Saccharomyces cerevisiae S288C: one gene and its partners. The main gene of each other region encodes a partner of the protein of the gene in region 3 in a complex. Each region holds a gene or a part of one and is shown on either strand. Other genes may lie near its edges. A codon is read from its position in the direction of its gene.

The links.
Region 1: the proteins of RXT2 (region 3) and RPD3 are in contact, whole or in part, in a cryo-EM structure (PDB 8GA8), measured with the Saccharomyces cerevisiae proteins. Residues at the interface, in NP_009653.2 of Saccharomyces cerevisiae: Ser61 (codon at 1,960), Ser62 (codon at 1,963), Arg64 (codon at 1,969), Arg77 (codon at 2,008), Arg78 (codon at 2,011), Asp79 (codon at 2,014), Leu80 (codon at 2,017), Asn81 (codon at 2,020), Asn82 (codon at 2,023), Ser83 (codon at 2,026), Met86 (codon at 2,035), Ile189 (codon at 2,344); in NP_014069.1 of Saccharomyces cerevisiae: Gly37 (codon at 2,760), Pro39 (codon at 2,766), Asp109 (codon at 2,976), His151 (codon at 3,102), Gly159 (codon at 3,126), Phe160 (codon at 3,129), His188 (codon at 3,213), Glu213 (codon at 3,288), Phe214 (codon at 3,291), Phe215 (codon at 3,294), Gly217 (codon at 3,300), Arg280 (codon at 3,489), Leu281 (codon at 3,492), Tyr340 (codon at 3,669).
Region 2: the proteins of RXT2 (region 3) and DEP1 are in contact, whole or in part, in a cryo-EM structure (PDB 8HPO), measured with the Saccharomyces cerevisiae proteins. Residues at the interface, in NP_009653.2 of Saccharomyces cerevisiae: Asn40 (codon at 1,897), Tyr41 (codon at 1,900), Glu88 (codon at 2,041), Val91 (codon at 2,050), Phe92 (codon at 2,053), Tyr93 (codon at 2,056), Asn94 (codon at 2,059), Glu97 (codon at 2,068), His98 (codon at 2,071), Arg99 (codon at 2,074), Leu100 (codon at 2,077), Leu101 (codon at 2,080), Gln102 (codon at 2,083), Thr103 (codon at 2,086), Asn104 (codon at 2,089), Ser157 (codon at 2,248), Val160 (codon at 2,257), Val162 (codon at 2,263), Lys163 (codon at 2,266), Leu166 (codon at 2,275), Thr167 (codon at 2,278), Pro168 (codon at 2,281), Ile169 (codon at 2,284), Leu215 (codon at 2,422), Leu219 (codon at 2,434), Asp221 (codon at 2,440), His222 (codon at 2,443), Ile226 (codon at 2,455), Tyr227 (codon at 2,458), Glu228 (codon at 2,461); in NP_009389.3 of Saccharomyces cerevisiae: Tyr242 (codon at 995), Gln243 (codon at 992), Gln245 (codon at 986), Lys246 (codon at 983), Leu249 (codon at 974), Ser250 (codon at 971), Asn253 (codon at 962), Thr256 (codon at 953), Ile257 (codon at 950), Arg260 (codon at 941), Thr261 (codon at 938), His264 (codon at 929), Gln265 (codon at 926), His268 (codon at 917), Thr272 (codon at 905), Arg275 (codon at 896), Leu279 (codon at 884), Asn280 (codon at 881), Thr283 (codon at 872), Gln284 (codon at 869), Trp286 (codon at 863), Tyr287 (codon at 860), Asp288 (codon at 857), Cys341 (codon at 698), Glu342 (codon at 695), Ser343 (codon at 692), Ile344 (codon at 689), Arg362 (codon at 635), Leu365 (codon at 626), Ile369 (codon at 614).
Region 4: the proteins of RXT2 (region 3) and PHO23 are in contact, whole or in part, in a cryo-EM structure (PDB 8HPO), measured with the Saccharomyces cerevisiae proteins. Residues at the interface, in NP_009653.2 of Saccharomyces cerevisiae: Pro168 (codon at 2,281), Ile169 (codon at 2,284), Leu170 (codon at 2,287), Ser171 (codon at 2,290), Leu172 (codon at 2,293), Ile175 (codon at 2,302), Ile181 (codon at 2,320), Thr184 (codon at 2,329), Phe185 (codon at 2,332), Ile189 (codon at 2,344), Leu190 (codon at 2,347), Leu193 (codon at 2,356), Gln196 (codon at 2,365), Met200 (codon at 2,377), Lys203 (codon at 2,386), Ser207 (codon at 2,398), Arg210 (codon at 2,407), Tyr211 (codon at 2,410), Gln213 (codon at 2,416), Phe214 (codon at 2,419), Val217 (codon at 2,428), Phe218 (codon at 2,431), Glu224 (codon at 2,449), Asn298 (codon at 2,671), Ala299 (codon at 2,674), Ser302 (codon at 2,683), Leu303 (codon at 2,686), Gln323 (codon at 2,746), Glu327 (codon at 2,758), Ile328 (codon at 2,761); in NP_014302.3 of Saccharomyces cerevisiae: Leu7 (codon at 2,444), Phe8 (codon at 2,441), Leu11 (codon at 2,432), Asn12 (codon at 2,429), Ile14 (codon at 2,423), Thr15 (codon at 2,420), Leu18 (codon at 2,411), Glu19 (codon at 2,408), Phe21 (codon at 2,402), Pro22 (codon at 2,399), Thr25 (codon at 2,390), Leu29 (codon at 2,378), Leu32 (codon at 2,369), His33 (codon at 2,366), Asp36 (codon at 2,357), Met43 (codon at 2,336), Leu46 (codon at 2,327), Asn47 (codon at 2,324), Ile50 (codon at 2,315), Asp51 (codon at 2,312), Phe53 (codon at 2,306), Leu54 (codon at 2,303), Lys55 (codon at 2,300), Lys56 (codon at 2,297), Gln63 (codon at 2,276), Gln65 (codon at 2,270), Val66 (codon at 2,267), Leu69 (codon at 2,258), Asn70 (codon at 2,255), Ile72 (codon at 2,249).

What each region holds. Positions count from the first base shown.
Region 1 is NC_001146.8:16,383-21,953, reverse strand, and holds RPD3 (histone deacetylase RPD3), read left to right. Parts: upstream 1-2,651; coding exon 2,652-3,953; downstream 3,954-5,571. Other genes in the region: PEX6 (AAA family ATPase peroxin 6), read left to right, coding at 1-2,413; AAD14 (putative aryl-alcohol dehydrogenase), read left to right, coding at 4,706-5,571. UniProt on the Saccharomyces cerevisiae protein: Catalytic component of the RPD3 histone deacetylase (HDAC) complexes RPD3C(L) and RPD3C(S) responsible for the deacetylation of lysine residues on the N-terminal part of the core histones (H2A, H2B, H3 and H4).
Region 2 is NC_001133.9:125,571-130,987, reverse strand, and holds DEP1 (Rpd3L histone deacetylase complex subunit DEP1), read right to left. Parts: upstream 1,719-5,417; coding exon 501-1,718; downstream 1-500. Other genes in the region: cystathionine gamma-lyase CYS3, read right to left, coding at 1-189; SYN8 (syntaxin), read left to right, coding at 1,969-2,736; bifunctional N-glycosylase/AP lyase NTG1, read left to right, coding at 2,886-4,085; protein phosphatase 2A structural subunit TPD3, read right to left, coding at 4,202-5,417. UniProt on the Saccharomyces cerevisiae protein: Component of the RPD3C(L) histone deacetylase complex (HDAC) responsible for the deacetylation of lysine residues on the N-terminal part of the core histones (H2A, H2B, H3 and H4).
Region 3 is NC_001134.8:433,906-437,477, reverse strand, and holds RXT2 (Rxt2p), read left to right. Parts: upstream 1-1,779; coding exon 1,780-3,072; downstream 3,073-3,572. Other genes in the region: ubiquitin-binding serine/threonine protein kinase VPS15, read right to left, coding at 1-527; YBR096W (uncharacterized protein), read right to left, coding at 765-1,457; PBY1 (putative tubulin tyrosine ligase), read right to left, coding at 3,181-3,572. UniProt on the Saccharomyces cerevisiae protein: Component of the RPD3C(L) histone deacetylase complex (HDAC) responsible for the deacetylation of lysine residues on the N-terminal part of the core histones (H2A, H2B, H3 and H4).
Region 4 is NC_001146.8:439,897-445,225, forward strand, and holds PHO23 (Pho23p), read right to left. Parts: upstream 2,463-5,329; coding exon 1,470-2,462; downstream 1-1,469. Other genes in the region: Ras family GTPase RAS2, read right to left, coding at 1-674; PLS1 (Pls1p), read right to left, coding at 901-1,023; 40S ribosomal protein eS7 RPS7B, read right to left, coding at 3,502-3,930, 4,276-4,419; YNL095C (uncharacterized protein), read right to left, coding at 5,016-5,329. UniProt on the Saccharomyces cerevisiae protein: Component of the RPD3C(L) histone deacetylase complex (HDAC) responsible for the deacetylation of lysine residues on the N-terminal part of the core histones (H2A, H2B, H3 and H4).

The DNA of each region.
Region 1 (5,571 bases), on a different chromosome or scaffold from region 3:
TGATAATTCAATATATGCCTTTACAGACGCTGAAACTCTACTGCGCCTGGATGTCACAAGTGGATCGTTTATAACAGTGTCAAATATGGGTTGCGTCAGGCTAGTTAAGCTGTTTGTTTTACTACTCCCCAACGGCTTTAAAAAAAGAACAATATACGCACCTCCCAAAATAATAGCAAGCTTTCCAGACTGCAGCGTCGTGACAATATCAAAGTCCAATATAGGCCATACAGATATTCCCATTGCTAATCAAGTTTTCATCTCAAGAGTTGGAGGCTGGCTTCAATCTCAGAAATGCTTTCAAAATATTATTCTAACAACCTTGAAAAAGTTTTTTAGCGAGAGCAAAAGGATTCTTTGTCAAAATGATTTAATCCCAATCGCTTTTGATTCAAGTATGGCTGATCTCAATATAGCAGAGGAAAATGATGAGTCTGATGACGAAGATGAGCTAGGGCAGTACTACAAGAACGATTCCCTTGTATGGTTCTTTGTCACAAGCGCAGAGCTCGATTGCTTCTCTAAAGATAATTCTCATTTTATTATTGATCCCAATCGGACGAAGCTAATAACAACTAATATCACTAACAGAAGACCATTACCCTTGAGTAGATCCAATCTTCAGAGATATTACGGTTTTGCTGAAACTTTTTACTATGATTTGCATATCTTCCCCTATGTAAGACAATTGGTTAACATATTAGAAACTTCCTTCAATTGTTCTCAAAGGGGAATCACCCTAAATGCCTCTGTGTTACTTCATTCCACTACAAACAATGTGGGCAAGGCTACAATGGTGAGATTTGCTTCAAAATATCTTGGTATACATCTACTGGAGATAGATTGCCTTTCGCTCACTTCAAATTCAAGACAACTGGATTCAACATCTAAGATTATTGGTTACATTAGGGCTAAATGTGAAAATGTCCTACCGTACGCATCACCTGCTGTGATTTTTTTGGCTCATTTGGATTCAATTTTGCTTGACGTAAACGCTAATCAAGATCCAGAGGCAATCAAATTACAAAAATCTATAAACTTCGAAATGTCTAAACTTCTGGACGATTTTACGTTTAAATTCCCAGGAACTACATTTGTTGGCTCCGTAAATAACATAGATAACGTGCCTTCCAGCTTTAGATCACATATGAGATTTGAGATTCTCGTACCCGTTCCGTCTGAAGCACAGAGACTGCGTATCTTTCAGTGGTACTTATCTTCACATGAACTAAACAGAGATGTTCAACAAAAGGTTCCAGTATCTTACATGGATAATATTTCATTTTCATCACTCTCTTCATATTCTGCTGGTTTAACTCCTTTAGACATCAAATCAATTGTGGAAACGGCACGAATGACGGCTACTGCGCGTTTTTACCAAGAATCAAAGAAGTGTGGATGGCTTCCGCAATCAATTTTGATCACTCAGGAGGATTTATCAAAAGCTACTTCGAAAGCTAGGAACGAATTCTCGGTTTCGATTGGTGCCCCACAAATCCCTAACGTAACTTGGGATGATATAGGTGGTATTGATTTTGTTAAAGGTGAAATATTGGACACAATAGACATGCCGCTAAAACATCCTGAATTATTTACCTCAGGTATGAAAAAGAGAAGCGGTATTCTTTTTTATGGTCCACCGGGTACAGGTAAAACTCTAATGGCTAAGGCCATTGCAACAAATTTTTCTTTAAATTTTTTTAGTGTTAAAGGCCCTGAACTGTTGAATATGTACATTGGTGAGAGTGAAGCTAATGTGCGCAGAGTGTTTCAAAAGGCGAGAGAGGCTAAACCTTGTGTCATATTTTTCGATGAAATCGATTCAGTAGCACCCAAACGTGGTAATCAAGGTGATTCGGGTGGTGTTATGGATCGTATCGTTTCACAGTTACTAGCAGAGTTAGATGGTATGAGTACCGACGCTGACGGTGTATTTGTTATCGGAGCAACAAACAGACCAGACTTATTGGACGAAGCACTACTAAGACCAGGACGATTCGATAAATTGTTATATTTAGGCATTCCGGATACGGATACCAAACAATTGAATATTTTAGAGGCTCTGACTCGCAAATTCGTGCTCGACAACGACGTAAAGCTTATTGAGTTGGCAAAGCTATGTCCATTTAATTACACCGGGGCAGATTTTTATGCTCTCTGCTCAGATGCAATGCTTAACGCCATGTCAAGAATTGCACGCATGGTAGAAAAAAAAGTTTCTCAGCATAACGAATTGACGGGAGAGAATATTTCTACACGTCGCTGGTTTGATAAGATTGCGACAAAAGAGGATACTAAGGTTGTCGTAAAAATGGAAGACTTCTTGAAAGCACAAGAGCAGCTCACCCCAAGTGTGTCGCGGGCTGAACTGAATCATTATGAAGCGGTGAGAGCTAATTTTGAAGGTGCTTAAGTAATATCAACTCAGAGCGTATAGGTAAATTTGTAAATATATGTCCCATATTTTGCCTTGAAATTTATCTTTTTATTTACTTACCCTCCCCGGCTCATAGTATCTATCGAAAGGGAAAAACAGAAAAGATACTAGTAGTTGATTATACATAATAAAAATTTGAAGTAATAACCATAAAGGTTCATAAAACAATTGCGCCATACAAAACATTCGTGGCTACAACTCGATATCCGTGCAGATGGTATATGAAGCAACACCTTTTGATCCGATCACGGTCAAGCCAAGCGATAAAAGACGCGTTGCATATTTTTACGATGCAGACGTTGGGAACTATGCATATGGAGCAGGTCACCCGATGAAGCCGCATAGAATAAGAATGGCACATTCCCTTATTATGAATTATGGCTTGTACAAGAAGATGGAAATTTACAGAGCTAAGCCGGCAACGAAACAAGAAATGTGTCAGTTCCATACTGATGAATACATTGATTTTTTATCGAGGGTTACTCCAGATAATTTAGAAATGTTTAAAAGAGAAAGTGTCAAGTTTAATGTCGGAGATGATTGTCCTGTCTTTGATGGGCTCTATGAGTACTGTAGCATATCTGGTGGTGGCTCTATGGAAGGAGCTGCTCGTCTGAATAGAGGCAAATGTGATGTTGCTGTCAACTATGCGGGTGGTTTGCATCATGCAAAAAAATCGGAAGCTTCTGGGTTTTGTTATTTAAATGACATAGTACTGGGCATTATTGAGCTACTACGATACCACCCCAGAGTTCTGTATATTGATATTGATGTGCACCATGGTGATGGTGTAGAGGAAGCGTTTTATACAACGGATCGTGTCATGACATGTTCTTTCCACAAATATGGTGAGTTTTTCCCTGGCACAGGTGAACTGAGAGATATAGGGGTGGGTGCAGGAAAAAACTACGCGGTCAATGTGCCATTAAGAGACGGTATTGACGATGCTACGTATAGATCTGTGTTTGAACCTGTGATAAAAAAAATTATGGAATGGTATCAACCTTCTGCTGTCGTGTTACAGTGTGGTGGGGACTCCTTGTCCGGCGATCGTCTTGGTTGCTTTAATCTTTCCATGGAAGGCCATGCTAATTGTGTAAACTATGTGAAATCCTTTGGGATCCCAATGATGGTTGTTGGTGGAGGAGGCTATACTATGAGAAATGTTGCAAGGACATGGTGCTTTGAAACAGGTCTACTAAATAACGTTGTCTTGGATAAAGATTTACCGTACAATGAATATTACGAATATTACGGTCCAGATTATAAGTTAAGTGTTAGACCTTCGAATATGTTCAATGTAAATACTCCCGAATATCTTGACAAGGTAATGACCAATATATTTGCTAATTTGGAAAACACAAAGTATGCCCCTAGTGTTCAGTTGAATCACACACCTAGGGATGCCGAAGATTTGGGTGATGTTGAAGAAGATTCTGCCGAGGCTAAAGATACGAAGGGTGGTTCGCAATATGCGAGGGACCTACATGTTGAGCATGACAATGAATTCTATTGAAAAAAAGAGTTGGAAGTATATACGAATATAAATAATGTGAAACAAAAGAAGAAAAGTGAATAAAAGGCACTTAAGACGCTATCCAATTGTGTATGAGAAGTGCAAACTCAATTTTTTTGCAAAAGACTTTTCTCAAACCTTTAATTGATGCGTTCCGTTCATACATCAACCGCGTCCCATACGTTTCGAAGAAAATTGCCTATATGTGTTATTTACATACTAGAGATATTTTAATATTGAAACAGTTGTATTTCTATTGTAATTACTATCTAAACGTCTCGTCCCACCGCTGTTGATAAAGCGGTGCCAATATAATTTATAATCACGCCTGGGTAAATGACTTTTAATTTCTTAAATCATCGAAGTATGCGAAAACAAGAAGTCTTTATTCATAATAAAAAACAAATTCGGTTACTACGACTTTTATATGTCATTCAATATTTGGTAATAATTTTACAGTATTAACCCTATCCTCATCTGATTCACTCTCTTCTAATTGCATATATTTTCAAATTCGCTTTCAGCGCTGTACAAAACCAGTAAGCAGATCTCGTACGAAGACTCAAATAAGTTGCATTGTTCGTATTCAAGGAAACCGGGGGGCAAAATTTCCAACCATATTTAAGTATGACAATATTTCCAAGTCAAGGATGCATGCTGTTCTTCTCTTCATTAACTAGCTAACCAATTAGCTGAACGGCTTTGTATTTTACTTAACATATTGTCTATTGCATAAAAAACCACTATTCAGCATGACTGACTTGTTTAAACCTCTACCTGAACCACCTACCGAATTGGGACGTCTCAGGGTTCTTTCTAAAACTGCCGGCATAAGGGTTTCACCGCTAATTCTGGGAGGAGCTTCAATCGGCGACGCATGGTCAGGCTTTATGGGCTCTATGAATAAGGAACAGGCCTTTGAACTTCTTGATGCTTTTTATGAAGCTGGAGGTAATTGTATTGATACTGCAAACAGTTACCAAAATGAAGAGTCAGAGATTTGGATAGGTGAATGGATGGCATCAAGAAAACTGCGTGACCAGATTGTAATTGCCACCAAGTTTACCGGAGATTATAAGAAGTATGAAGTAGGTGGTGGTAAAAGTGCCAACTACTGTGGTAATCACAAGCGTAGTTTACATGTGAGTGTGAGGGATTCTCTCCGCAAATTGCAAACTGATTGGATTGATATACTTTACATTCACTGGTGGGATTATATGAGTTCAATCGAAGAAGTTATGGATAGTTTGCATATTTTAGTTCAGCAGGGCAAGGTCCTATATTTAGGAGTATCTGATACACCTGCTTGGGTTGTTTCTGCGGCAAATTACTACGCTACATCTCATGGTAAAACTCCTTTTAGCGTCTATCAAGGTAAATGGAATGTATTGAACAGGGACTTTGAGCGTGATATTATTCCAATGGCTAGGCATTTTGGTATGGCTCTAGCCCCATGGGATGTCATGGGAGGTGGAAGATTTCAGAGTAAAAAAGCAATGGAAGAACGGAAGAAGAATGGAGAGGGTCTGCGTACTTTTGTGGGTGGCCCCGAACAAACAGAATTGGAGGTTAAAATCAGCGAAGCATTGACTAAAATTGCTGAGGAACATGGAACAGA
Region 2 (5,417 bases), on a different chromosome or scaffold from region 3:
TCTTTCCAAGTTCTCTCTGTTAGGATTTTGAGATCTGGAGTATTCGTAAGTACCGATAGGGTTAGCTGGAGAAGATTGTTTGAAAGTGGTGGACAAAGAAATGGGTTCGATCACGGAACCGTGAACGTCCACATGTTCACCGGCATGAATGGCCTTGGTAGCAAATTTATCAGATTCTTGTAGAGTCATATTTTTTTTGGTTTTGTCTTGTGTGTATATGTATAAGGTGCAAATGTCTATGTGTATAGGCCTCAATTGTACTTTCAAAATTCAATCTGGCACGGCACAAGTTCCATCTACCTGGCATCTTATGCTTTAAATAACTGAAATATTTTTTTCTTTTCTTTTCCTCGAGGATTTTTATGGAAAAAAAAGTGTGGCGCCACAACTGGCTGAGATCACGTGAATGGCTAATTATTAGTAATGAAGGGTGGAATTACATAGCGTTACAACATATTTAAGAATAACAAAAAGAAGTGGTATGGGGTCCAGTGTGGCGGTCACTGGGCCCACTGGTGGAAGTCGTCGTTGATTTCGGAGTCTCTAAGCGGGTTCAACTCAGGAGCACCCGGGAAGGAGTGGAAATATTTGCGCAGGCCTTCGAGGTCGCTAATCTCGTTATTGAGCCTCATTCGGTCCACAATGACTTCGAGTTTGTCCACCGGGTTGGCTCTGTAGCGGTACTCGATGCTTTCGCAAGCGAGGTCCTCTGCCACGGGCTCGCCGGGATAGCACAGCTGTGCTGCGCTGGCGTAGCCCGTGATACAGCTCAGCGTCTTGTTATCAAGTTTGATGGGGACGTGGTAATTGACATCTGGGATGACTATATCCATATCGCGGCGCTCCTTGTTGATATCGTACCAGGTCTGCGTGGTTCTGTTCAGCAGCCTGGCTCGCAGGTCGGTGACCTTCTTGTGGAAGTCCTGGTGAATGAATGTCCTGGTAGCGATTGTTTCTGTGTTGATGCATGAAAGCTCGTACTTCTGTCGCTGGTACGCTCGGTGTAGCTTGTAGTCACGGATCGCGGCAATCTTCGAGTAGTAGACCTGCAATTCCGGGTGTGACCCTTCCAGACACATCTGCAGCTCCGTTTGCAACCGCACCAATTGATTGTCATATAGTTTTTGGCGCAATTGCGCGAACTTGTACTCGATGTCGGTGATTTCCTTCAGCGCAGTCATCCTCTGTTCCTCCATTTCGATGGGGGAGGGCATCACCAGCGCAGGCGGTGCTGTATGCTCGTTTTCGTTTTCATTATCCTCCTCGTTGTTTTCCTCCTCATTATCACCTTCGTCCCCTTGCTCGTCCCTGGCGTCGGTGCTCTTCTCCTTGCTGTCAATTGCCTCTTCCAGTTCTTGACTCTTTTCCTCTTCCTTGCTTTCGTCCTCGTTCTCTCCCGGCACTTTCATCTTCTTGGCCTCATCTATCGCCTCTTTCTCATCTTCGTGTGGTCTTTTCAAGCTCTCGGTGAGCGTCTCTTGCTTCACCAGGCTGGATAGCTTGGGAGCGTATTTCAACTCCGGCAGATTGGCCAACGACTTCTCCTCGTCGCTATCCATCTTCTCTGTTCCTGCGTCACTGGATATACAGTATTCCGATAAATTCAAATTGTGATTCAAATCCGTATTGAAGTCAATGTTGCTCAACACGCTCTCTTGATCAAGGTCCTGTTCTTTCGCTGTGGTCTGTTCACTTTCCTGTGGTGTTTGCTGACTCATCTGCCACGATCGATGCGCCTCCTCTTGCTTCTGTGCTTCCTTCCCTTGTACTTTGCCGTTGCACTGTTATGAGTTTATTATTTCTAAAAATCATTTTATAAGAATAAAATTTCCCAGCACGACTTTGATCACCCGAAAGGGCAAAAACAAGTAAAGAACAAGAAATAAATGCTGAGACTTTACAATGGAAAACGAATAAAGCATAGAGACAGATCTCACGACAGCAAATAGATGCGTAAGCACACACGGTATGGATGTGTTGAAGCTGGGTTATGAACTGGACCAGCTCTCTGATCTGGTCGAAGAAAGAACAAGGCTAGTGTCGGTGTTGAAGCTCGCCCCGACCTCAAACGATAACGTTACTTTGAAACGGCAATTGGGCTCAATATTGGAGTTATTGCAGAAGTGTGCGCCCAATGATGAACTAATATCCCGATACAATACCATACTGGACAAAATTCCTGATACGGCGGTTGACAAGGAGTTGTATAGGTTCCAACAGCAGGTGGCAAGAAATACTGATGAGGTGTCCAAAGAGTCTTTGAAAAAAGTGCGGTTCAAGAATGATGACGAGCTTACGGTCATGTATAAGGATGACGATGAACAAGACGAGGAGTCGCCGCTGCCTTCGACGCATACTCCATACAAGGATGAACCATTGCAATCGCAGTTACAGTCACAGTCACAGCCACAGCCACCACAACCCATGGTTTCCAACCAAGAACTATTTATTAACCAGCAACAGCAGTTGTTAGAGCAAGATTCCCACTTGGGCGCACTGTCTCAGTCTATTGGGAGGACTCATGACATTTCGCTGGACCTTAATAATGAGATCGTTTCTCAGAACGACTCGCTGCTGGTTGATTTAGAAAACCTGATTGATAATAATGGTAGGAATTTGAACAGGGCCTCTCGGTCCATGCATGGCTTTAACAATTCTAGGTTCAAGGATAACGGCAACTGCGTGATTATTCTTGTGCTGATAGTGGTGCTCCTGTTGCTTCTATTAGTATTATAACATTATATTCTGTTTTTTAGGCTCGAATACGAAGTTTGGTTTTGATCTTTTTTTTTTTCTTTTTCTTTCACTTAGTAATAACCTCCTCTTTAATGATTCATCATATATTTGTATCTATATATACTTTATAGCCCAAAAAAAAAAAAAATATGCAAAAGATCAGTAAATACTCATCTATGGCAATTCTGAGGAAAAGACCGCTGGTAAAGACTGAAACTGGGCCAGAATCAGAACTCCTACCGGAGAAAAGGACCAAAATCAAACAAGAAGAGGTTGTCCCTCAACCCGTGGATATCGACTGGGTTAAATCGCTGCCAAATAAGCAGTACTTCGAATGGATTGTGGTTAGAAACGGCAATGTGCCCAACAGGTGGGCCACACCATTGGACCCCTCGATCCTTGTCACTCCGGCCTCGACGAAAGTCCCTTACAAGTTTCAAGAAACATACGCTAGAATGCGAGTACTGAGATCTAAGATTCTAGCCCCCGTCGATATAATTGGTGGATCATCCATTCCTGTAACGGTTGCCTCTAAGTGTGGTATCTCGAAAGAGCAGATATCACCGAGGGACTACAGATTACAGGTCCTTCTTGGGGTGATGCTATCATCGCAAACAAAAGATGAAGTTACCGCAATGGCAATGCTTAACATAATGCGGTATTGTATAGACGAACTGCACAGCGAAGAAGGTATGACATTAGAGGCCGTTTTACAAATCAATGAGACCAAATTAGACGAATTGATTCATTCAGTTGGGTTCCACACAAGGAAGGCCAAGTATATTTTGTCAACCTGCAAAATCCTTCAAGATCAGTTTTCGAGTGATGTTCCAGCTACGATTAATGAGCTATTGGGCCTGCCCGGTGTAGGGCCCAAAATGGCTTATCTAACATTACAAAAGGCATGGGGCAAGATTGAAGGTATCTGCGTTGACGTTCACGTGGATAGATTGACCAAGCTTTGGAAATGGGTAGATGCGCAGAAATGCAAGACTCCAGATCAGACAAGAACTCAATTACAAAATTGGCTGCCTAAGGGGCTTTGGACAGAAATAAATGGGTTGCTGGTTGGATTTGGACAAATAATCACTAAATCGAGGAACCTTGGTGACATGTTACAATTCTTGCCACCGGATGATCCCAGAAGCTCCTTAGATTGGGATTTGCAGTCTCAATTGTACAAGGAAATCCAGCAAAATATCATGAGTTATCCAAAGTGGGTGAAATACCTGGAAGGAAAACGTGAACTGAACGTGGAGGCGGAAATCAATGTTAAACACGAGGAGAAAACAGTTGAAGAAACTATGGTCAAACTGGAAAATGATATTTCTGTTAAAGTAGAGGACTAAGTGTGGTAAAAAAAAAAAAAAAGAAAAGAAAAGAAAGCAGGCCTAGTTGTTAATATGTATACTTTTTATTCATTCAAGTGTACATATGTGTATGTATGTATATATTTGAACTAGTATCAATTTTTTAAAAGTTCTTGACATTCTGCCAAACTTTTCTTAGCGAAGTATTTTACATCAACATCTTCGTCTTGACACAGCGTTTGCAATGAGGGTAAAATTGTGTTCTTAATTAATGCATCATATTTGGCCTCGTCCTTAATTAAAACCTTCACTATCACAGCGTAGGATTTGGCCACATTAAACCTAATATTTGGAACACCGTCATCAGCCAAGTGAGAAATGAATGGTAATAGTTGCTCAGTAACGACATCTAACGATACCACGGGCACCAAAGTGGTTAGAGCAGAGAGTATTGTGAACCTCGAGACAAAATTTTCCAGTAATTGTAGATCAAATTTGAGCAGTCTTGAAATAATTTCATCACGACACCAATCAGAGCCAAATATTTCCGTTAACCTTTTTAAATTATTCACTGCGGCTTCTCTGATAGAATAAACAGTATCCCACAACCATGAAAGACATAAATCGCTTAACTGTTGGTCAAAAAATTGCATACCTAATTGTTCTGCCAAGATAGGTATGTACTCAATTATAGCCATTCTAACTCTCCAATTCACGTCCTTGGCTAATTCTGTTATGGCAGGTAACAAAGAGTCTGATAGCAGCTCAATTCCTATTACGTCATTGACAACCTTCAAGCTGGCAATGATATTTAAACGAACGTCAGGGAACTCATCTCTTAGCATATTCAGTAAAATCGGAAGAAAATTGTTAATGACTTGATCTTTATTCAACAGTAATACAATATTTGTAATCTTAGAAGCCAAAGCAGATCTCACTGTTTCACTTTCGTCCATACTCAAATTCTGCACAGCAGGTAAGATCTTATTCAATATAATTGAAGGATCATTTAGGAACTTGGCAAACCCAGAAACTTGTTTAGCCACAGCTTCCCTAACATCTCCCTCGTTGTCCTCACAAAGGTTCAAAAATGGTTGTACTAATTCATCGATATATGCTTGGTTGGAACTGAATTGCGAGGCTAAATCTGAAAATCTATCGGCAGCCATGTAACGTACCCTCCACGCTTCGTCACCAATTAATTTGACAGCAGAGTTCAATAAATCTTGAGTGTGAGACTCATCACCTTTAGCGTTAAAAAATTTCAAGATGGAAATTAAACAATCAACTGCCAGAAACTTGACAGAATCTTGATTATCGTTAATGATTTTCTGGAAAATGTTAGAAATGTAATCCCAATCTTCGTCTGTA
Region 3 (3,572 bases):
GGCAAATATACGGGTTTGATAAATGCAGCAAAATCTGTCAATATACACCAATTCCAACTTGTTACTAGGATATTTTCTGTCTTTATATCACCATGGACAATATTCAGATTATGAATGTCCTTTAATGCATTTAACAACTGGAAAGCAATGAATTTCAGTTCAATGTCTTGTAAGTAAGGTCTCAAACTCAATCTGTCATATAAATTATTTTTTAAGTGCTGCCGTATCATGTAGCCGGCTCTATTTGTCTCGATCAATTTACTGTAGTTTAAAACGTGCGGTAGTTGTCCCAACTTAAACGATTGAGCCCTTATACGTTGGAGAAAAGGTCGTAAGCTATATTGGTCTTTTGGTTTAATAAACACTTTGATAACAATTTCGCCGTTAGGGTCCAGTGCCTTGCATGTTTTTAAGAATCTTGATGAGTTTAACTGTGAAACGTAGTGTACTTCCTCTAAGACATCGATATATGAAAAAATGGCTATGGAAGGTGATGCTTGGACCACTAGTGATAATTGTGCCCCCATTATACTGTATGCCTTCCTTTTTGATAACCTTACAGCTTTTGTATTTCTCCAATTCAACTTGTCTGCTTAAGTATCTTACTTAAGATATATCTGTTTTTCATTTTTATGATGTTGAAAAATAAGGGAAATTTACCTTGTTTTCTACCGAAGATAAAATATAACGCAGACTGCACAGAGAAACTTTTGAAAGAAGATAGATTTATATATTTTATAATACCGGCTATATGTGTATAGAAGTTAGATTTCTGAACAGTACTCTTGGCTCAAGTTTTCCAATGGTACTGTCTCGTGGAAACCACAACGCTCGGTTAAAAGCTTTAGATTGTCCTCAGAAATTTTGGCGACCTTCTCATTATATAAACCACAGTATTCAAGAGCATCCTTTGGTTTGATGGTCTTTCTACCGTCCTTAAGGACGTATTTGGTCAATGATAATGAGCATAAGACGGTGCCCTTTTTAATTGTGAATCTACTCATGACGTAAATCCATTTCTCATCCCAACAGATAATCCTTGATGAAACCGAGTACTTTTGAAAAGGCTTGATTTCCTTCAAGAAATTAGTGAAAACGTTCGCAACTGGAATATATGGATAATGCTTGGAATTCAGCATCAATTTTTGAAAAATCTTGCACATGAGATTACCTCTTGAAATGTCCAATTCCGCAAAATAGGTGCTATTGCTCTTATGAAAGTAGAAGTCACATTCGAATGGAGAGGCATAGGTATCTAGGCTGGTGTACGAGAAACAGCCATATTCATTTTTCTCAAGTTTCTTAATATTCTCGGTTTCAAACCCTGTAAACATAGGCAAGAACAAGTTTTGAATAACATAATAATAAAACCTAACAAAATATGCCCCAGGAAGCGACTTATATGAAGAGAGCAAGTAAGCAGCAAAGAGCCACCTAAAAATAGTGCAAACACCCATTATTCTATTATTTTATTTTGTTGTAGATATTGGAAAGCACTAGTTACTCGAGAAACCTTTTGGAAGTCTTGAAATTAGAAGCAATTGTTTTACAAAATTACTAAAAAGCCTTTAAGCGGATAATTATAATGTTCACTTTATAACGGCGTTATTCGAAGATCATTATTGTCTCCTATACCCAAGAGGACCGAAGCCGGGTAGCGAACTTTGTTCTGGTAAAACAATCGCTTTCAAATAGAAGAAACGTTGCTTGATGACAGCATCTCCTGCAAAAAAGAGGTTGAGAAACAAATATCTCAGCTGTTGCTTCTTGTTGATCGAGATGACTATTAGGAGCAGTATGAAAAACAACGCAGAATTGGAAAGCAAGAGTGTGTTAGCTAATGAATCGAATATAATTAGCACATTTACTAGAAGGATAATAAAGGAAAAAAGCGGTAACTATCAGGTACTGAAAAGATCCCTTGATGGAAAACTAATCTATCCTGAGGCCACTGGCATATCCTCTAACAGAGGTAACAAACTTTTGCAGAGAAGCGAAGTAGTAACAAGAAGAGACTTGAACAATTCTAAGCCAATGATTGAGCAAACTGTGTTCTATAACGGTTCGGAGCATCGCCTTCTGCAAACAAATATTGTCACTGATAGTAGACGCAAAAGAATAAAATTCACACCTGACATCAACGTCGAGCCTGTTTTAGTCGGTGATGAAAACGACATCGATGGTAGTGAGAAGGAAGACGAAAATATCACTGATGAGTATTACGGCGAAGAAGACGATGACGACCTATCAAAACTAGTGAATGTAAAGGAGATTTTGACTCCCATTCTTTCCCTAGGGGATATAATAAATCATAAAACTATCTCAAGGACATTTTCAAGCCCAATTTTGAAAAATTTAGCCTTGCAAATAATTCTAATGATTGAAAAAGAACAGATGTCAGTTGTTAGATATTCCCAGTTTTTGGAGGTTTTTTTAGGAGATCATCCTGAACCAATTTATGAATCTAACTTGAACCTACCATCTTATAATCACAATTTGACCCTTCCAGAGGATAGAGGGGCAAGCGACGAGGATGACATTAACAACAAAAACAATATCAACGAGGTTAACTCGAATAGTTTGTCTACTGAAGCTGGTCATATCAATAATGGCATGGAAGAATTTGGAGAGGAAGATCCTTTTTTTGCATTGCCAAGGTTGGAACAATCTAATGCGCTGTTATCGTTGCTGCCATCTTCTTCCGGTTCTGCTTCTATATCAACATTAACAGCGGCCGAACAACAACAGTTAAATGAGGAAATTGAGTCTGCCCGACAGCTGTCGCAGATTGCACTACAGAGGAATAAAGAATTCATAAGAAACTTACAAAAAATCAGAAAGTCTGTAATAAAAGCCAATAGAATAAGAGGTAGGATTTTAAATTGGAGTCGGGAATATTTGGGTATATCTGACGATGATATTACTATCCCGGTGGCTCTACGTGTTGTGAAGAGAGGTCTGATCAGTGCTACAACAAATAAGACAACAAATTTTGAGGAAGAAATTGAAAATACCATGGAAGACGGTGTTGTAGACGATAATGAACCTGATGAAGAAGCTAATAGAGCCTAAATTGACAAAACAAAAAATTTCGGAAATAAAATCAAGGCATATGTATTATTTAGCACTATTTAGTAATAATAACAGTATTTTAGGATGGGTTCTTTTTTTTTTTTTGTTTCACCAACCGTTTGAAGTGTAATCAATGACTTTTACGAAGTTCGGGTCTGTTTCATCATCTGTCTTATTTCTATTCTCGTTAAAGATGGGGGTAACACAGTATTTGACAGTGTCATCAAATAATTCATCAATGAGGTTCTTCAAATCTTTCCCAGTTTGTTTGAAGTCTGGGAAAGCGTTGATCTCTAGTAATTTAACTTCGTAATTCGAATCAATCAAAAAGTCTACGCCATATGTTTCAAATGCGTTTGGTAACGGTTGGAAGTTTAATCTATTTACATTTACAGCAGCTAAGAAAACGTCGTTCGTTATGCTATGGATTTGCTCCTTAATATTGGACTTTCTCTCATTTGGAATTTCCTCTATGGAGTCAAACTCCAAAACAGAAGAAT
Region 4 (5,329 bases), on a different chromosome or scaffold from region 3:
CTACTGTTCACATTTTTACCGTTGGCAGCATTGCTCATCTTCCTGTGGCCACCGCTATTTCTAGGCACAGAGTTGGCACCGCTCCCTTTTGTATCTTGAGAAGTTTGCTTGGAGTTGTCATTTTCCGTCAAAGTCTTGTTGTACTTGCCGCCTTCGTCTCTAACTAAACGTGCTAGAGTGTAAAACGCCTCTTCCACGTTGATTGCTTGCTTAGCAGATGTCTCCAAGAAAGGAGCGTTCATTTGCTTTGCCATGTTCAACCCGTCCTGGTAAGAGACCTGTTTTTCGTTTTCTAAATCAGATTTGTTACCAACAACCACAATTGGAACATAGTCGGTATCTTTGACTCTCAATATCTGTTGATAGTAAGTCATAAGCTCATCAAGAGACGACTTGGACGTTATAGAGTAAACCAATAGGAATCCTTCGCCGTTGCGCATGTATTGTTCCCTCATAGCAGAGTATTCTTCCTGCCCTGCAGTATCCAAAATGTCCAATATAGACACTTCATCATCAATCACCACTTGCTTCCTGTATGAATCCTCAATTGTGGGATCGTATTCATCTACAAAGTGCGATTGGGTCAATTGTATGGTCAAAGCAGATTTACCAACACCACCACCACCAACGACGACTAGCTTGTACTCTCTTATGTTCGACTTGTTCAAAGGCATTTTTTTTTCTGTATATCTCCTTTCAATTCGAAAACGGTTAACTTGGTTTTTTTATCCGTAATTCTCTCGTATCTTTCTGCTCAAGTAATTTTCTCCTAGTTGATTAATATAGTGCAGAAGAGTCAGATAAAGAGTGGATGAATAAAATGGAAAAAAAACAAAAGCCGGATTGCGTTACGCTTGAAATGAGCGATTCTAGGCGATAAGAGAAGACAACGGCTAAAACTTAAGATGTTGGGGTACTATAAATGTTTACCCAGATTTTCGGTAGAAATGTTTGCTGATGTGAACCTTGTTTCCCGTTTTCCCAGATCCCCTTATTCCAGCTTTGTTTCGTCTTTGCTGTCATGTTCCGTTTAATTTCTGAAGGCCTGCCTAGCTTCACCGTCCTAAATGTCACGCTCCAGGCAGAGACATGGCGCAGGGGCGAGGCCAGGGGCAAAGGGGTCAGGCAGGAACCTCCAAGGGGGGCGAGGTGAATGAAAAGGTCCTTCTGAATAAAAAGCCTAAGCGATTAGCCACACCACCCACTGTACGGCGATTAGACTGAGCTGCTGGCGCTGCTACGCCGTGACAAGTCATTTCATCATTTATTACGTTTTATCGTGCCGTCATCACCATCGATTTGAATATTTTATCTAGACCGGTAGGGCCCAAGTATCTTGCAGATCCATTGATACGGCCACGCCCGTTAAAACGCTAAGATATATATATATGTAGCTAAGATATATATATATGTATATATTCGGTATTTAGTAGATATTTCCTTAAGGCGATATTCGCCCGAGAGCTATTTCACAGTTTTTTTTTGCAGTCGTCGCAATACCACTTGCCCTTAGGTAGAGTTTCGAGTCCAATACATGGCAAATGGAACCATTCTAGCTCACAGTCTGCGCCATCACACCCCACCATTTCCCCGTATGCCACTTGGTTACAGTAGCAGTAGAGCGGTTCGCCGTAGTCGTTGGTTTTTGGTCTTGATATCCTGCTGTTGTTGCTGTTTCCGACGCTGCTAACTCCCCTGGACGCTGTAGATGTACCTATCCTGCCATTATTGACGGCAGTTGCCGTGCTGATAGTGCTTGGTGAAACGGCTGTGGTGGCAACTCTCCTCTTGCGTTTTTTGGTCTCTGGATCGGCGTTGTTGGTATTGGCAGCGTTGGCTCTTTTTCTTGAGTTTGTGTTGTTACCAGTGTGGTCTTGGCTCTCGTGCCTGCTGCCTCCGTAGTTTGCGTCGTTCTTTGAGTCGTCTTGTTGGTGTGTGCTGGCGGAGTAATGTTCGCCCTGCCTCCTGTTGGCAGCCATGGCTTCTCTTCTTGATTCGCTCTTCAGTGCCTGCGACGATTTGCTGTTTGATTTGCTCTCTATTTTTTCCATTAGTTCATGATGGAGGTGCATTGCTGGATGGTTGTCCACACCCAGTCTTAAACCTCTAGGAATTTCTGTGTTCTTGATTGCGACTTCATACGCCAATTCTAACCGGGACGTCAATCTGTCTAGATTATCCAGCATAATGGATGAGACATGCATTTTCTCCTCCAGCGATGGCATCAGTTCTTCATAAATCTTGTTGATATTATTGAGCAGTCTTACTTGTGTTTGGTGATCTTTATTGAAGTCTTTCTTCAAGAACTTATCTATCCTCTCGTTCAAATTCGGCATAGAATGCACACATTTTGCATCTATTTCGTGTAGTAATGTTAAATATCTGGAGGTGGCCAGTGGGAATTCCTCCAGCACGTCAGTTATGTCGTTTAATCCAGGGAATAGGTTCGCTGGTGAACTCATTTGTACGTATTTCAGACTATGAACGTGGTTGCTGTTTGTGATACTGCAAGACTACAAACTTTTCTCCTTCCGGGTTCGTCCTGTTGTAAACGCCTAACTCTTTTCCTTAGGCTCCTTTTTCGTTTTTTCCCTAGCTCTTTCTTTCTTCTTCATGTGCATGCACTCTTTCCTACATATTTTTTTTTCAAGGGCATTTTTAACTTTCTTCGGAAATCGTCTAAGAATTGTAAACTATAATTGCAAATACGCGATTAGCTCTATCTAGAATACCGAAAAAAAGGTTTGCCACTCACAATTGGACGTGCCTCAATTATTTCAAGTATACGTCATTTGGGCTTTTGACTTGTAAAATATACTCAAATGAAATTCTGATTATACAAAGTTGAAACACGTAACACGCCATGTCAAGGTACGCGTAGAGGTAAGCAGATAATGCATGGACAATGTGCTGGGCGAAGAGGCGGATCTAATTACACATACTTGGGATCATCTAAGATTTCAGATGGTTATGTTAATGCTCACTTGTTCCACGCCTTTTTCCTTTCCTTCAGATAAGTAATCCGCATATCAATGTGAAAGAACTAACGGTTGTTGATGGACGTATCGTTGTCTAGCGATAAATAATGCTTTTTCTTCAACAAATAAGTGGTTGTTTGGCCGAGCGGTCTAAGGCGCCTGATTCAAGAAATATCTTGACCGCAGTTAACTGTGGGAATACTCAGGTATCGTAAGATGCAAGAGTTCGAATCTCTTAGCAACCATTATTTTTTTTCCTTTTTATCTGATTGCAGCGAGAACTTGGGAAATCAACCCAATATGTATTCCAAAATGTCAAAACACCAATTAAAGCATCTCTATATTGACAGATACAAAATATATTTAAGTATACATTCATAATTATTTTACTCGAATTAAAAAAGCCCACTTTTTGGAAACCTCCTTTTGTATTCTCATAACTATGTTTCTTTTTTTATTATTTTTTCTTAATATTATTTTCTTTAAGTATGACAAATGATGAGAATGATAGTTATCTCACTATTTAGTTGGTCTGGCTTGGAATTTCAAAAACAATTTGTTTGCCAGTCAACTTGTTGTAGACAGCTTGGAAAGATTCCAACTTGTAGTCGATTTGTTGAACATCCTTGGAGTCTAACAAAACCTTTTGGATCTTGTTACCACCAACCAAATATCTAACTCTTTTACCGACAATTTCAGTTGGGAAAACCATGTCTTCCAAAACCTTGTCGTGAACAGCAGTCAAAGTTCTGGATCTTGGTCTCTTTTGGACTTGTCTAGATGTTCTAGATGGTTTTGGCAAGATTCTTCTTTCAGCCAAGAAAATAACATGACGGTCAGGGAATTTCTTTTCCAATTCACGGGTCAATTTGGTTTGGACCTTATGGTATGCAGACAAAGCTGGAACTGGGACAAAAAGGACTAGTGCTTTCTTACCACCGGTGACATCAATCTAAACAATAAGAATCAAGCAGCGTTGAAATAAAGTTAGTAACTGAATTGGTTCATTCATAACAAAAAAGGGTTTGTGATTCTTCTCCTTGGGGTAAGGTCTTTTTCGCGTGCTTCTATTTTATTCATCGATATTGGTACTGACCAAGGAGGCCTTTATAGTTCAAAGGCTCATCGCAACGTTCATGGTATTGACAGCTCTCGGAATTACTATTTTTCTCGAACACATGAAAATTTCATACAGATACTGCTCAAAATCACTCTTTTTTGAAAAAATTACTGCAAAGAACCCCTTTAGAAGAAATCACAATGTTGCTGCTTCCAAATTATATAACTTTTAACATACTTCTCTGATAGATTTGATTTGCAATGGTCTCAAGTCAGCCTTTAGTTCTGGAGAGGAGCTTTCTAGATCGATGAAGGTCTTGGCGACTTGTAATTCCAACTCACTTGGAGCTTGGGATAAGATCTTGGATTGGACAGAGGACATTGGTCAGTTATGTGTCTAGTCTTTAGTGTGTTGGTTTCTCTTCTGTTTGTATATACAAAGTCAAATAACACATATTTTAACCATAATCAATAGCATTTGGTATTTCCCCCTCCGCGTATTATGAACGCCTAGTGAGCCCATTCTTCCCTAAAGCCAGGCTGGAAACCCAAACTGTGTGGAACGTGACTGAATTGCATTTGGTGAGTTACCAAGCAAAGGCTCGCAGGCTTGAACCACATTTTACCAGGGCGCTCGCTTTTTCCGAAATATTGAAATTAAGCAAAACAATAATGTACGGATTTAAAGAGGTACGGATGGAGACCGTAGAAAATTGACTTTTTTTTTTTTTTTGTTATTTTCTGTGCCTTTCGTAACTACTACTATGCAGAATGACAGGTAGTTGTTGTTTCGAATTGCTACTTTCACGCATTCAACTTGATCAACATTTCTCTCTGATGAAAGGTTGTGGAAAGTTTGGTCGTGTCTATAAGTAGGTGTTTTTTATTAGTTCTATATAAAAATGGAGAATGTTAATTTTAACCCACCCTAAAACAGTGATTAGGAGTGGTAATAATTTTTTGTTTAATGGATTAAAACTAAAGGTTCATCTGTACTTTCAGAAAGTAAGACACTAAAAATGGCAAGCTAACAACCATTAGCGGGTATTGCAGCATTAAGAAAAATGAAACACACTCCATTTGGATTGGCGCAGTTGTTTCTGGCGGCGTAAAACTGGCGGTGAAATATATAAGGGTAGTCATCGTTGGCAAGTTCCAGCTGATTGCTATAACAAATAGTAGCATTCTATCATCTTGCCAATTAACCCATCCAGCTTTCACTAACCGATCACACCATAGGACACCAAAAATTGGCATGACACATTGTCTCAAAATGACGAGTGTCACAGCGG